3 linked regions of the Coturnix japonica genome follow. The protein of the gene in region 3 interacts with the protein of the main gene of each other region in a pairwise test. Links are inferred from orthologs where the notes say so. Each region holds a gene or a part of one and is shown on either strand. Other genes may lie near its edges. The genes, in order: AATK, SH3RF2 and PPP1CC.

Region 1 (3,647 bases), on a different chromosome or scaffold from region 3:
TTCACCACCACCTGCGTGCTGCTGATGCCCGAGTTCACCTCCCCCAGGAACACCTGGGGGCAAGGGACAGGCATGTCCCCATCTATCCATCCTCACTGCACCTTGCTCCCAGTGAGGGACACAGTGTCCCCTGCAACCCACATCCCCACAGGGAGCAGATCCTGCACGCACCCTGCCCCAGTATCCCAAAACCCCAATGCCCTGTGCTCACCTTGCCAAACCATCCATGCCCAATCTCCTTCAGGTACAGCAGGCTCTGCCTCCCAAGGTCTGCGGACTTGAGGAGCTGCACTGTAACAGAGCACATCCAGCTGCCTGTGCGCTCATGTGCCCACCCATAGCCCCAACCCACCCGAGTTACCCGCCGATTCCAGCCGAGCCCTGGGGTCCTTCCTGCTGTGCCACCCCACGCCGTCCTGGGATGTTCTGTCAGCAGTGGGGGGGCCATCCCCACACACCCTGCATCCTTCCCACCCAGCATCCTGGTGCGGCCGTGCCGGTGTGGGGACATGGGGTGTCCCCAAGCACAGCGGTGGGGAGCTGCTTCTCCTCCCCAGGGATGGGGAGAGCAGAATGGAGCTGAGCTGGAGCTCTGGCATTTAGCCACACACCCAGCCCCCTCCCAGCACAGGTCCTGCCCCCCGTGCACCCATGCCAAGGGTGCAGCAATGGGGCCATTGTTGGGCTGCATCACGCCGCCCCAGCCCTGCCACACTGCTGCTATTCTCTGAGCTGGGGAGAGCAACAATGGGAGCGAGGGGGCTGTGGCACAGCAGCCCCCCCCAGATTCCTCTCCCACTCGCTGCCTTGTTTACGCAGGGCTGGGGCTGGTGGGTGCCATGGGAAAGAGCACCCTATGGTGTGGTTCAGTGGGCATGGTGGGGATGGGCTGACAGTTAGACATGATCTTAATGCTCTCCTCCAGCCTCAGCGATTCCATGTCCCAGCACATGGCAGCAGGGATGCACACTGCTCCCCTTGGTGCCACGCAAGGCAACAAACCACCCTCGTGCAGAAGGACAGGGCTGCTCAAGGGACCTCATCCTCCTGCTGCCCCATCGGAAGCTGTTTCAGCTATGCCAAGCACAGGGCTGTGATCACCCCTCCTGGCTCCACCCCACCCCAGGGTGCACGGGGACCCCACAGTGCCCATCCCCTCCCCATGCAGCTTACCTGAGCGCCCCGGCTGCTTGGCCATGGGCAGGGACACCTCGGTGAGGGGCAGGACGTACACCTCGGGGCCATGCTGCGGGGCGGGCGAGCCCTGGGCCGAGAACTCCGTCACGTAGTCGTCCCCGTCGGTGTTCTCAAACTCCTGTGCCGGGGCGGAGGGGAGCGCACGGCGGGGGGGACACACAAGGAGCAAAGACAACTGACCCTGCGGGCTCCCTGCAGCCCGCCCCGCAGCACAGCCACCCGCACCCCATAGCGCATCACCGAGCCCCTCTGGCAGTGCCCCCCAGCCCCATACCTGGCACTGATGCCGCACCAGCCCCCGGCTCTTGAAAGCCGCCTGTGCGAGCAGGTACGTGATGGTGAGCATGGTGCTGCCCCGCCGCAGCCGCCGCTCATGGTGCTGTGCGCGACCCCGCGGGCACTGCCAGCACCGGGCTGCGGCTCCACGGCCCTATATAGCTGCCGCGGGGGCACGACAGGGCTCATTGTTCCCCTGCTCGAGGTGCTCCGGTGTGGGACGGTTATACAACGACCCGGCGTGTCCCCTCTGCCTGACCCCTCCCCGTCGCGGGCGCCTCGAGCCTCCACAAAAATCCCAGCAATTAGGGAAAACTGTTTCTCGGCACATTCTGTGCCTGTGAGGTCACGGTGCCTCCCACCTCGGGGGCGTGAGGGTGGGACCGCCGCTGCCCTTAACCGTGCCGTGGCCTGGCCCCGGGGTGATGCGTGGGGCTGAGCCCCCACCCAAGAGACAGCGCACTGAGCAACAGGCACATCCTATGCAGTCATATGGCACGGGGAGACATCAGTGGGGGCTGCAGCCCCCTGCCCACAATAGGTACCCAGCCCTCACCTTGAAGCCGATATCTCCCTTCTTGCAGCACAGGCAGGCCAACATGAGGAAGATGAAGGTGAAAAGCCCGGAGAAGGAAACAGCCACGACAGCCAGCGAGGAGGACCAGGAGAGCTCACTAAGGGGGGTGCCGTCTGTGGGGACATAGGGGTGCAGGGTAAGGGACAGCACTGCGGGGTGCTGCACGCAGGGGCTTTGCTCACATGGTGCCCCCACTGTGCTCTATCACCACCGGACACACCGTATCCCCAAACCTCACCCCACATCCCACATGGCTCATGGACATGGATGCTGCCAGCACAGCAACGTGCATCTCCACCCCATATCCCCGCACCCACCACCCCACAGGGCCATCCCACACCACATCCCCTCAGTGCGAGCCCCCATCACAGGCAGCAGCTGCTACATTACTATTCCACCCAGAGCCTCCTCAAACAACCAGTGCGTTGTGGTGCAAGGAAGCAGGACGGCCACAGTGGTGCCACAAGAGGGGACAGCAGCACACAGACCCCCGGCCCATAGTGAGCCCCCACACAGCACAGAGCTGCACCCAGAGCCACCACATTGTGCCTTCCCCATTGCAGCAAGGGATTGGGGCACAGTGCCATCACCCACGCACCCCCTTCCCAAAGCACCACCACCATGCACCACCATGGGGGCTGCACCATCACCAGCCCTAAACCTCTCCCACCCCAGGTGCCAGTGTGCAACACCACACCAAGCACCGTGCAGTCAGCTCTGCCCCCACTCCATCATGTCCTTGAGGAGGGCACCTGAAGGACAGGAGGGCTGGGGATCCCTGTTTGGGGGCACAGGGCACCGTGGGCTCTGCACCGCACGGAACACGGCGGCTGCTGGTGGTGCAGCAGCTCCAGAGCCATCTTCTGAGGCTCAGCGATGCGCAGCCGAACCGGGGAGGAGCCGGGGGTGGCATTCTTGCTGCTTGCAGCCGGTTTCCATGGTGAACACACTTTGTACAGCGAATGTCACCATTTTCCTTGGATAGTGGGACAGCAAGAGAGAAAATGACTCACTGCAAAGAGCCTTTTGAATGCCGATGGGAGCAGAGCGTGGCGACAGAAGCCGTTCCAGCAGGGACTGTCAGCTGAGCCGCCCAAGGCCGCGGCGCAGGAAATGGAGCTTTTTGGATGAACCCATTTCCAAAACAACGTGTTTTGTCTCAGTTTCCCCACCTGCAGCACCGCTGGTGCAAGGAGGGGTGTCCCCACCCTTTGAGGGCTCCGTGCAGCTCTTTCGGCATCACTGTGACACCCCCAACCCCCATCACTGGACCCCCCAGCAGCTCCCAGTGCTGCCCCCACAACAAACTGCTCTCACCACGGGGTCACACTGAGCATGGCCAGCTCGGTGCATCCCAAAACAGGAGCTGCTGCACCAGCCCCAGAACCAGGGGAGCAGTGATGCTCCAGCACTGCCTGCAAGCCAGGCAACACCGCGCTCCATCCCCATGCCGTGGGGCAAGGGTGGCGTTCAGCAGAGCCCCAGCGTGGCACCTGACTCCACAAGCGAGATCAGAACGGTAAAGCAGAGAGCACGGAGATGCTGAGCACATCACAGGTCCACGCTGCCCACACCCCACACCCTGTTGCACCGCTCA
Region 2 (3,647 bases), on a different chromosome or scaffold from region 3:
GATGTGGGAGTGAACTGTCCAGGGGGTGGGGAATCACTGACCCTGGTGTTGTTCCAGAACTGGGGGAACGTGTTTGCAGTTTGGTGGCTCTGCCAGTGGTGTGGGGATTGATTCTAATGATCCTTGGGATCCTTCTCAACTGAAGCTGTTCTATGGTCCATGGGAACAGTGGGGGTGGGTAGGGTTTGGATTTAGAGATATTAGAGGTCTTTTCCTGCCTTAATGGTTCTGTGATTTATGGGGAGCTCAGTGAGATTCATGCCTCACCATAGACCTCAGAAAGCCTCAAATTTTGATCACTGCCACTGAACTGATGAACACTGGCTCCCAATGAAAGGCATACTGCAGCACTTTGCTTTTCTGAAGGGCTTAATTCCAACAGCAGAGTCAGCAGCACCGATAACCCCAGCAGCACCCATCAGCCCGTGGGCAGCACTCTGTACCTTGTCACTGCTGTTACGGGACATGTCCGGCTTCACCAGGATGGATGGCGGGGCTGACGCGGGTGGCCGGGGCACTGACTCACTCTTTGCCAGTGTGTCCATGGCGTCCAGGATCACCGAGCTGCAGACAGATGGAGTCCTACTTTCCCCTCCTCTGACTGTGAGCGCTGGCGGGGCTTCGTGGGAGAAGCTGGGCCTCGTGCCCACCTCAGCTGTGCCAGCAGCGGGGCTGCTGTGGGGCGGGCTGCCATCATGTGGGTACGGCTGCAGCCCGGCTGTGGGCACACGGCGCAGGGAGTTGCCAGCCTGCAGCCCTGCCTGTGCCGGCCTCTGCAGGGACCCATCTGGGGGCGAGAGTAGGGGAAATTGGTTAGTGAGGTTCCAGCAGGAAAGCACAGGGCAGCAGCATGCAGCGGGAACCAACAGCACTGTAGGACATACTCCCAGTACTGTCCAGCCCAGCATGGTGCTGCCTGCCTCTCTGTCCTGTATGGAGCCCCCCCAGGTGCCATGGGGGAAGCAGCACCCACAGACCTGCTATTCTCCATCCTTTGCAGTCATGCTTTTGGCCAAGCATGTCTGTAAGTTTGCACCCAAGCCCTCCTCTCATCCCTATAGTTTGCTGCCATTGGTTGCTCTGCACTGGCTGCTCCATCTGCAGCTGCTCTCCAGGCTGCAACACTGGAAGTCGTGCACTTTATTTATTTGGCAGTGCGTCACTGTTTGCAAGATGGATTTTTTAATAAGAGCCACCACAGGTGTGTGAGGTCCTCTACAGCAAAACTGCTTTTAAGATAAACCCAGTGCTGAATCTAAAACCTCCAGCAGTGGCCCTTGCAAATGCGCTGGGCCTCGGCCAGCATCGCTGCCCATCTCCACCCCAACCTGGGGACTGTGCTGTGGCTGCTCAGACATTCAGTGCACCTTTCCACCTGCAGCCTATTCATGACTTCATGTATCTTGGATGTTTCTAAGCTGTAAAACTTTGCTCCTGAAACAAAATTATTCCATTCTGTTGCTCATCCTTTCTATGCTCGTTTCTAATTTTACTCTATTGGAGTTATCAGAATATGAGAAGTATTCAGGAGATGAGCTCACCAGAACTCCTACAATGGCACTGCTGAGTTTTACCCTTTTGTTCTGAGCTTCTTTCTTAAGAACTCCTGATAATACCTCATGCAACCTTCTGTAACTTCCTCTGCACATGGAGCTCTCGAGGTCCTCTGTGACAATCCACAAACCTCTCTCTGGAGGACCAAAACTAACGCACATCCCAGTGCTGTTTGCTCAACCAGGGCTCACTGCTCCCCATGGCACACTGGCACTCAGTGCCATTCCTGCTTCCTTTGCTCGATGTTGGCAGCACCTCGTGGATCCTTGCATCCATCCCAGACACAGCCCATAGCTCAGCCCATAGCACAGTCCCCCTGCACTCACTCTTCCTGGTGCAGCCGCGGCCGCGCCGCAGTGCTGTGTGCCCCATGGGCAGCGCTGCCTCCAATGCCCGGCTCTGTCGCTGAGCGCTCTCTGAGTTGCTGCCCTGCGAGGACAGCGAGGCGGCTGACAGCGTCCACGAGGCGTACAGCGAGGGCAGCTTCGAGTCGGGTGTGCTGGGTTTCCTGTTGGCAAAGGAGCAGAACGTCAGCTGGTGGTGGAGGGAGGCGGCGGTGCGTGCAGACGGAGCTCAGCACAGTGAAGTCCTCCAGCCCTGCATTCACAACACGGGGTTTGGAGGGCCCTGCACAGCTTCTGGGGCACTGCTGTTACTGCAGAGATAACTCGCAGGGAATAACCTGCCTGCAGTGTTTGACCAGAGGGGATATGAGAAAAAGAAGGGCCAGCAGAACTGAAGAACTGTAGATTTTGTCACAGCGTCTGTCTCAGAAGCAGCAGGTAACCAGCCAAGGGCACTGAGCAAGGAGAATGCTGCCGTGCTACCCTAACATACAGGTGCCCACTGACAAAAGGGATGGAGGACCAACGAGCCTTGGCCTGAGGCAACACACCATGAGTAGTGCAGATGTGTGCTCTGCCTGGGTGGCAGCAGCAGGAACAGTCAGAATCTGTCTCAAATCTTTCCAGCACTGTACCTAAATTTTTCCATAACCCTACAACTACGTTTGGGATCAGCTGCCCCAGCAGTCCCTGCAGCTCCTGCTCAGAACTGCGGACACCCATGCATGTCCCCAGCCCAAGGTGCACAGCCCTGCACCCCAATGCCCCTCCTGCAGGCAGGAGCCCAGGGAGCTGCTGGGCTGGGGATGGGGGAGATGTGGAGTGCTGTGTGACCCTCAGCACGATTCGCATGACTCACATGTTGGCTGAGAGGTGATGCTGCAGGTGGGGCAGAGTGACAATGGCTGCCGAGTGCCTCAGTGATCCTGGAGCAGGATAGTAGGATGCACTGACCTGCTGAGAGAAAACAGAATGCAGTATATTAATGTGAAGAGGGGCTTATTTTTGCCACTGGAGAAGCCATTGAAATCACTGGACAGGCCTCACCCATGCTTCCAAAAAGATGAAAACGAGACACAGAACCTCATTTTGTTGCAGACAGATCCAGCAAATGAGGTGCAAGGTCATTCAATCAGCACAGGTTTTGCTAAGGAACATGGACCTGCCCTTACTCTTGAAAACAAATCTTACAAATTGCAGGAGCAAAACAATTGAATGTGAATGTCCTGAGCTGTCCTGGCTGGTTGCTGTGTGTGTGTCCAGCAGTGCAGCCCAGGATAAATGGCACCAGGACAGCATCACCTCCTGTCACTGCTCCACACCGCTCCCAGAGCCTCCGCTCCCCTTCTGCAACTGCTGCCCCTTCTGTTGTGTTTCTGTGCTCCCCCACCAGCACCACCCCAGTGCAGTGGCTGTGCTTCACTGCGCTCTGTGCTCACACACCAACCAGCCCAGCACAAAGATCCCTGTGAGTCTGCAGGAGAAAAATGGTTGTTCAGAAGGAAGGAAACCTGACCAGGCAGCACATCATCGGTGCTGCGGTTTATGCTGTTGACAATAGCTCACACCGAGACACTTTGGGTAAAATTATATTGGGGTCATGAGACACGGTACCGATTCAATTGAATTATGGTTCTATTGTAGGGCTTCATTTCCTCTCACATAAAAGAGGGCCTAATATCCAGGGCTCTTTGCAGGCTAATGCTAAGCACAAAATGCCTGCTGGGTTTTATTGTGCGGACACCGAAC
Region 3 (3,747 bases):
AGCCCTCATTAGTTTGCCCAGTGCTTCCATCAACCTGCTCACTGAGGCTGAGCACAATGTTACTGAGAAAGGCTTTTTGTGATGCCTCAAAGCCTAACACCTCTATGCTACAAACATTGGGAGCAAGAAGGACTCACCAAATATTCACTTCAGATTAAGAAGCTGAATATATAAATATATCTAGATTTTTTTAAAGACTGATTTAATAATTAGCTATCTACCCTATGGCAGGTGAGACTGTATCAGCTACTTGGAGGGAAGTCACTTGATCTGTATAATTACCTCAAATTTCATGAAGTCATGATAGAAAGCACATAAAAACCCAATGACAAATCAATTATTGATGCCCTACATTAGGAACAAAAGCAAGAATAATTATGATTAACCATTTAAGCACTTTGCTTTACCTAGGCCATCAGACTACACCCAGCACAGCACTAAGGTGCCTTATAGGACACAGGCACAACTGTCTGCTCACACTGATTTGAGTATTTCATCACCTATCTCCAGAATGCATCTTTTTTCCCCTGACCTTTAAAAGGAAGAAGGGATAATGCCATATTAGCTGCTCATATCCTTTGATTTTAATAGTACAATTATATATTTTAGGTAAGTATACATTTTAAGAACAACAACACTGAAATACTTGACTGCAATTGCAACAACCTGAGTGCCACCTTGTTTGAAAGCCTATCAATTGAAACACATCCATCAGGCTTCAAGGCACTAACTGCATCCAGTTGTGTGCCAGCACTACACTGAAAAGAATGCCAGGTAAGACAGAAATTATTCCTCATTTATTCCAAATTAAATAGGATGACAAACCCTGCACATACTCCAGACCTGATTTCCCCCCCTTCCCCACTTAACACCATGTAGATCTGCCCTGTAGAAGTTCAGTCCCACCACCAACCTAACTGTACCTTCGTAATTCCAGGGCAAGGCTGAGTCAGATTTTAAACAACCACAGAGAACGATGCTCACAGCTACTCACACCATTTATCCATCTATCCACAACGCAGCACCTGCTAAAACACAGCATCACTTTGTCCTTTGGAGAAGTGGAAAAAGAAAAGGCTGCCACAAAGGTCAACCATCACTGCCTGAGAGAAATGTTTACAACAGGCATTTAATACGCAATAAAGATGCATATCAGCACAGGTGGTAATCATTTTAAACACTGAAAAACCATTACGGCTTCATAGGATCCAAAATCCCAAATGAAACATCAATAAAGCCAAAACATTTAATTTCAGTCTTGGCAGCTGATGCAACCTCCAGTAATGGGATCTTTAGGATCTTTACCATCTTTAATGGTACACATCCACCTCTGTGTCAGTCTGAAAGCCCTGAATGACCAACTCCCATCCCCTCTATATGTGTAACACGGGTACAAGCTGGGTAAGAACCTATTGGTGTAGCACATCTTGCCCCTTTTTAAACTTTAAAACAAGAAGAATTGTTCAAAACCAACTGCATTTCCTTCTGCTCCATCCTATTCATTGTTTGTAATGACCTGATCCGGGAAAACTGCATTAGTTACATTAGAGCAGACCAGGTAAGAATTATAAACTATTACCTGCAGTAAAAGTGAACGCTTATTAATGTCGGCAGATGTAAGACATACAGGACCCGACAGCACAAAGTGTGCTACTAGAGTTTCAGGAAAATCCTGGTCTAAATTTACAAAGGGAAGCCTTTAAATAATTTAAGCCGGGGTAGTTTAAATTGGTAACAGGCACAGCCCGCAACGGATCACAGCAAAAGCCCTATTTACTTTTACTTATTCTAGCTCAGTAATCCCATAATACACCCATCGGATTTTCAGTCCCTGTGGTTCCAGCAGCACCGCCGTCCTCTCGCTGAAAAACCACGGCACTGCTGAAAGCCATTTCCCGTTCGTCTCATCAGCACCTACATGACTCGGAGCCGGATGGAAACACGTTAAACCCCATGAAGCTCCTCAAGCGCGAGGTGCCCGCCCTGAGACACAACAAGGAACGAGGCCGGATCAGGGCAGCTCACCCCAAAAATAACCCTCTTTTTCCTCAAATCCTTTAGAAAACCGCTCAGTTCCCTTAACAAACCATCCTGCCCCAACCCCGCCGTGTCTCCCTTTCATTCCTCAGGGCACTCATTGCTCTGTGGGCTGAGGACAAAGCACAGCCCCCCCCACCCCCAGTGCCGGCTCCACACGCGGCCCCGTCCCGACCACCCCATCCCGACCCCCGTCCCCTCCCCTCGCCCCTCACCCTCCAGCAGCCGTTGGATGATGCTGTCGATGTTCAGCTTGTCTATATCCGCCATCGCCTCTCAGCGGCCAGGCGGACCCCTCCCCGCCGCTTCCCTCCCTCCCTCCGCTGGCTGCTCGGCTGACCCGGCTCCTCTCCTCTCTCGTCGTCTCGTCGTGCTCTCCCCGTGTCCTTTCTCCTACCCGCTCTCTTTCTTCCCCCCCGCCCTCCCTCTTTCTCTGCCGCTCTCAGCGCAGCTCCGGCGCGGAACAAAATGGCGGCCGTCTCCTCAGCGAGCTCGGGGGAGCGGATGGATACCACGAGCGCAAGGCGGCGCACGAACCCTTTTATAGGCGGGCGGGAAGCGCGCGGCGGAGCGAAGTGCGCACTGCGGCTGGTGTCGGGATCCTTCCGCCGAAGGGTGGAGAAATAGTGCCCACGAGGGGTGTGTGTTCTGCCCATATAACACCGCCTCCTGGACCCCAAACAAGGCGGACACCACCGAGATCCCACCGCTGTGACCACTGGAGCCTGATCCTGTGGTCCTGGACCCTCACCCCATGGTGCTGTGTCTGCACGCCCCATCGTGGCACCCTCCTGCATGAGGCGAGGCGTTGTGTTGAGTTTCAAGGCACATTCACCACTCAGGACATTCAAGTTGCATCTCTGAATGTTGTTTAATTGCTTCATTAACTCCTGGCCTAGCATCTCCATCCCTCCTCCCCACAGCAGCTGCACACACACCTCACATCGATGGTTACATAACCACCATTGCAGAGAGCAGAGTTCACACTGTGAGGGCACGAAGGATGTGGTTTATTGTACAGCTGCTCATAATCTGGCCATGTATAAAAACATAAGTATTATATACGTAATGCCCACCTACAGTCAGTATTGAAATAAAGAACATTTCATTCACCTGTACATACATATACATAATACCCAAACCACACACATACTGCATGTATAATGTACGTACATACCCTGTGCATACACACATACACATGTATATATATGCAGCTAGTGATGAAAAGCTCCTTATTTAATTCCTGTATGTAGGTGGATCCTAAGAAATGCAAGTTGCCCACGCTTCCCCTTGCTTCACATTACATATTTCCTAGGTCTGTTCAACTCAGTGTGTCTGTGTACATTTCAAAGACCTACACAGACTGTTCAACACTGGGAAAACAAAGGAGGTGTGATGTGAGGGTCAAATGTTGTTTTTCCTATCTAGATGCTCAGTGTTTTCCTAACTCCTGCTGCGTGTGTCTGGATATCAGCCTGCTACAGTCCAGATCAACTTTTGATGTCTGCTTTTTTGCCTCTGGTGTCTGAACTATTTTGCTTACCCCCACATTTCAGACCTTGCAGAGTTTGTGGGTTGTAACAGTCGTTGGTCAGACTGAAGAGCAGATGGACAAAGCCACAAGGCTGATCTGGAGATGTAGGGGTTTGTATTCTGTTTGGAGGGAGGTGATGATGCAGAGTCAGGTGTTTTCTTAGTGTCATGTTTTAT

The links.
Region 1: the proteins of PPP1CC (region 3) and AATK interact in binary tests that used the Homo sapiens proteins (3 or more experiments, as listed by UniProt). The link is inferred for Coturnix japonica from reciprocal best matches to the Homo sapiens genes PPP1CC and AATK.
Region 2: the proteins of PPP1CC (region 3) and SH3RF2 interact in a two-hybrid assay, tested with the Homo sapiens proteins (2 studies listed by BioGRID and IntAct). The link is inferred for Coturnix japonica from reciprocal best matches to the Homo sapiens genes PPP1CC and SH3RF2.

What each region holds. Positions count from the first base shown.
Region 1 is NC_029533.1:5,066,387-5,070,033, forward strand, and holds part of AATK (serine/threonine-protein kinase LMTK1), read right to left. Parts: intron 2,164-3,647; coding exon 2,030-2,163; intron 1,316-2,029; coding exon 1,174-1,315; intron 615-1,173; exon of another isoform or gene 600-614; coding exon of another isoform or gene 362-599; intron 292-361; coding exon 212-291; intron 54-211; coding exon 1-53. UniProt on the Homo sapiens protein: May be involved in neuronal differentiation.
Region 2 is NC_029528.1:470,529-474,175, forward strand, and holds part of SH3RF2 (E3 ubiquitin-protein ligase SH3RF2), read right to left. Parts: intron 2,856-3,647; coding exon 2,758-2,855; intron 2,063-2,757; coding exon 1,881-2,062; intron 788-1,880; coding exon 444-787; intron 1-443. UniProt on the Homo sapiens protein: Has E3 ubiquitin-protein ligase activity. Acts as an anti-apoptotic regulator of the JNK pathway by ubiquitinating and promoting the degradation of SH3RF1, a scaffold protein that is required for pro-apoptotic JNK activation.
Region 3 is NC_029530.1:5,191,319-5,195,065, forward strand, and holds the start of PPP1CC (serine/threonine-protein phosphatase PP1-gamma catalytic subunit), read right to left. Parts: upstream 2,548-3,747; 5' UTR 2,308-2,547; coding exon 2,253-2,307; intron 1-2,252. UniProt on the Homo sapiens protein: Protein phosphatase that associates with over 200 regulatory proteins to form highly specific holoenzymes which dephosphorylate hundreds of biological targets.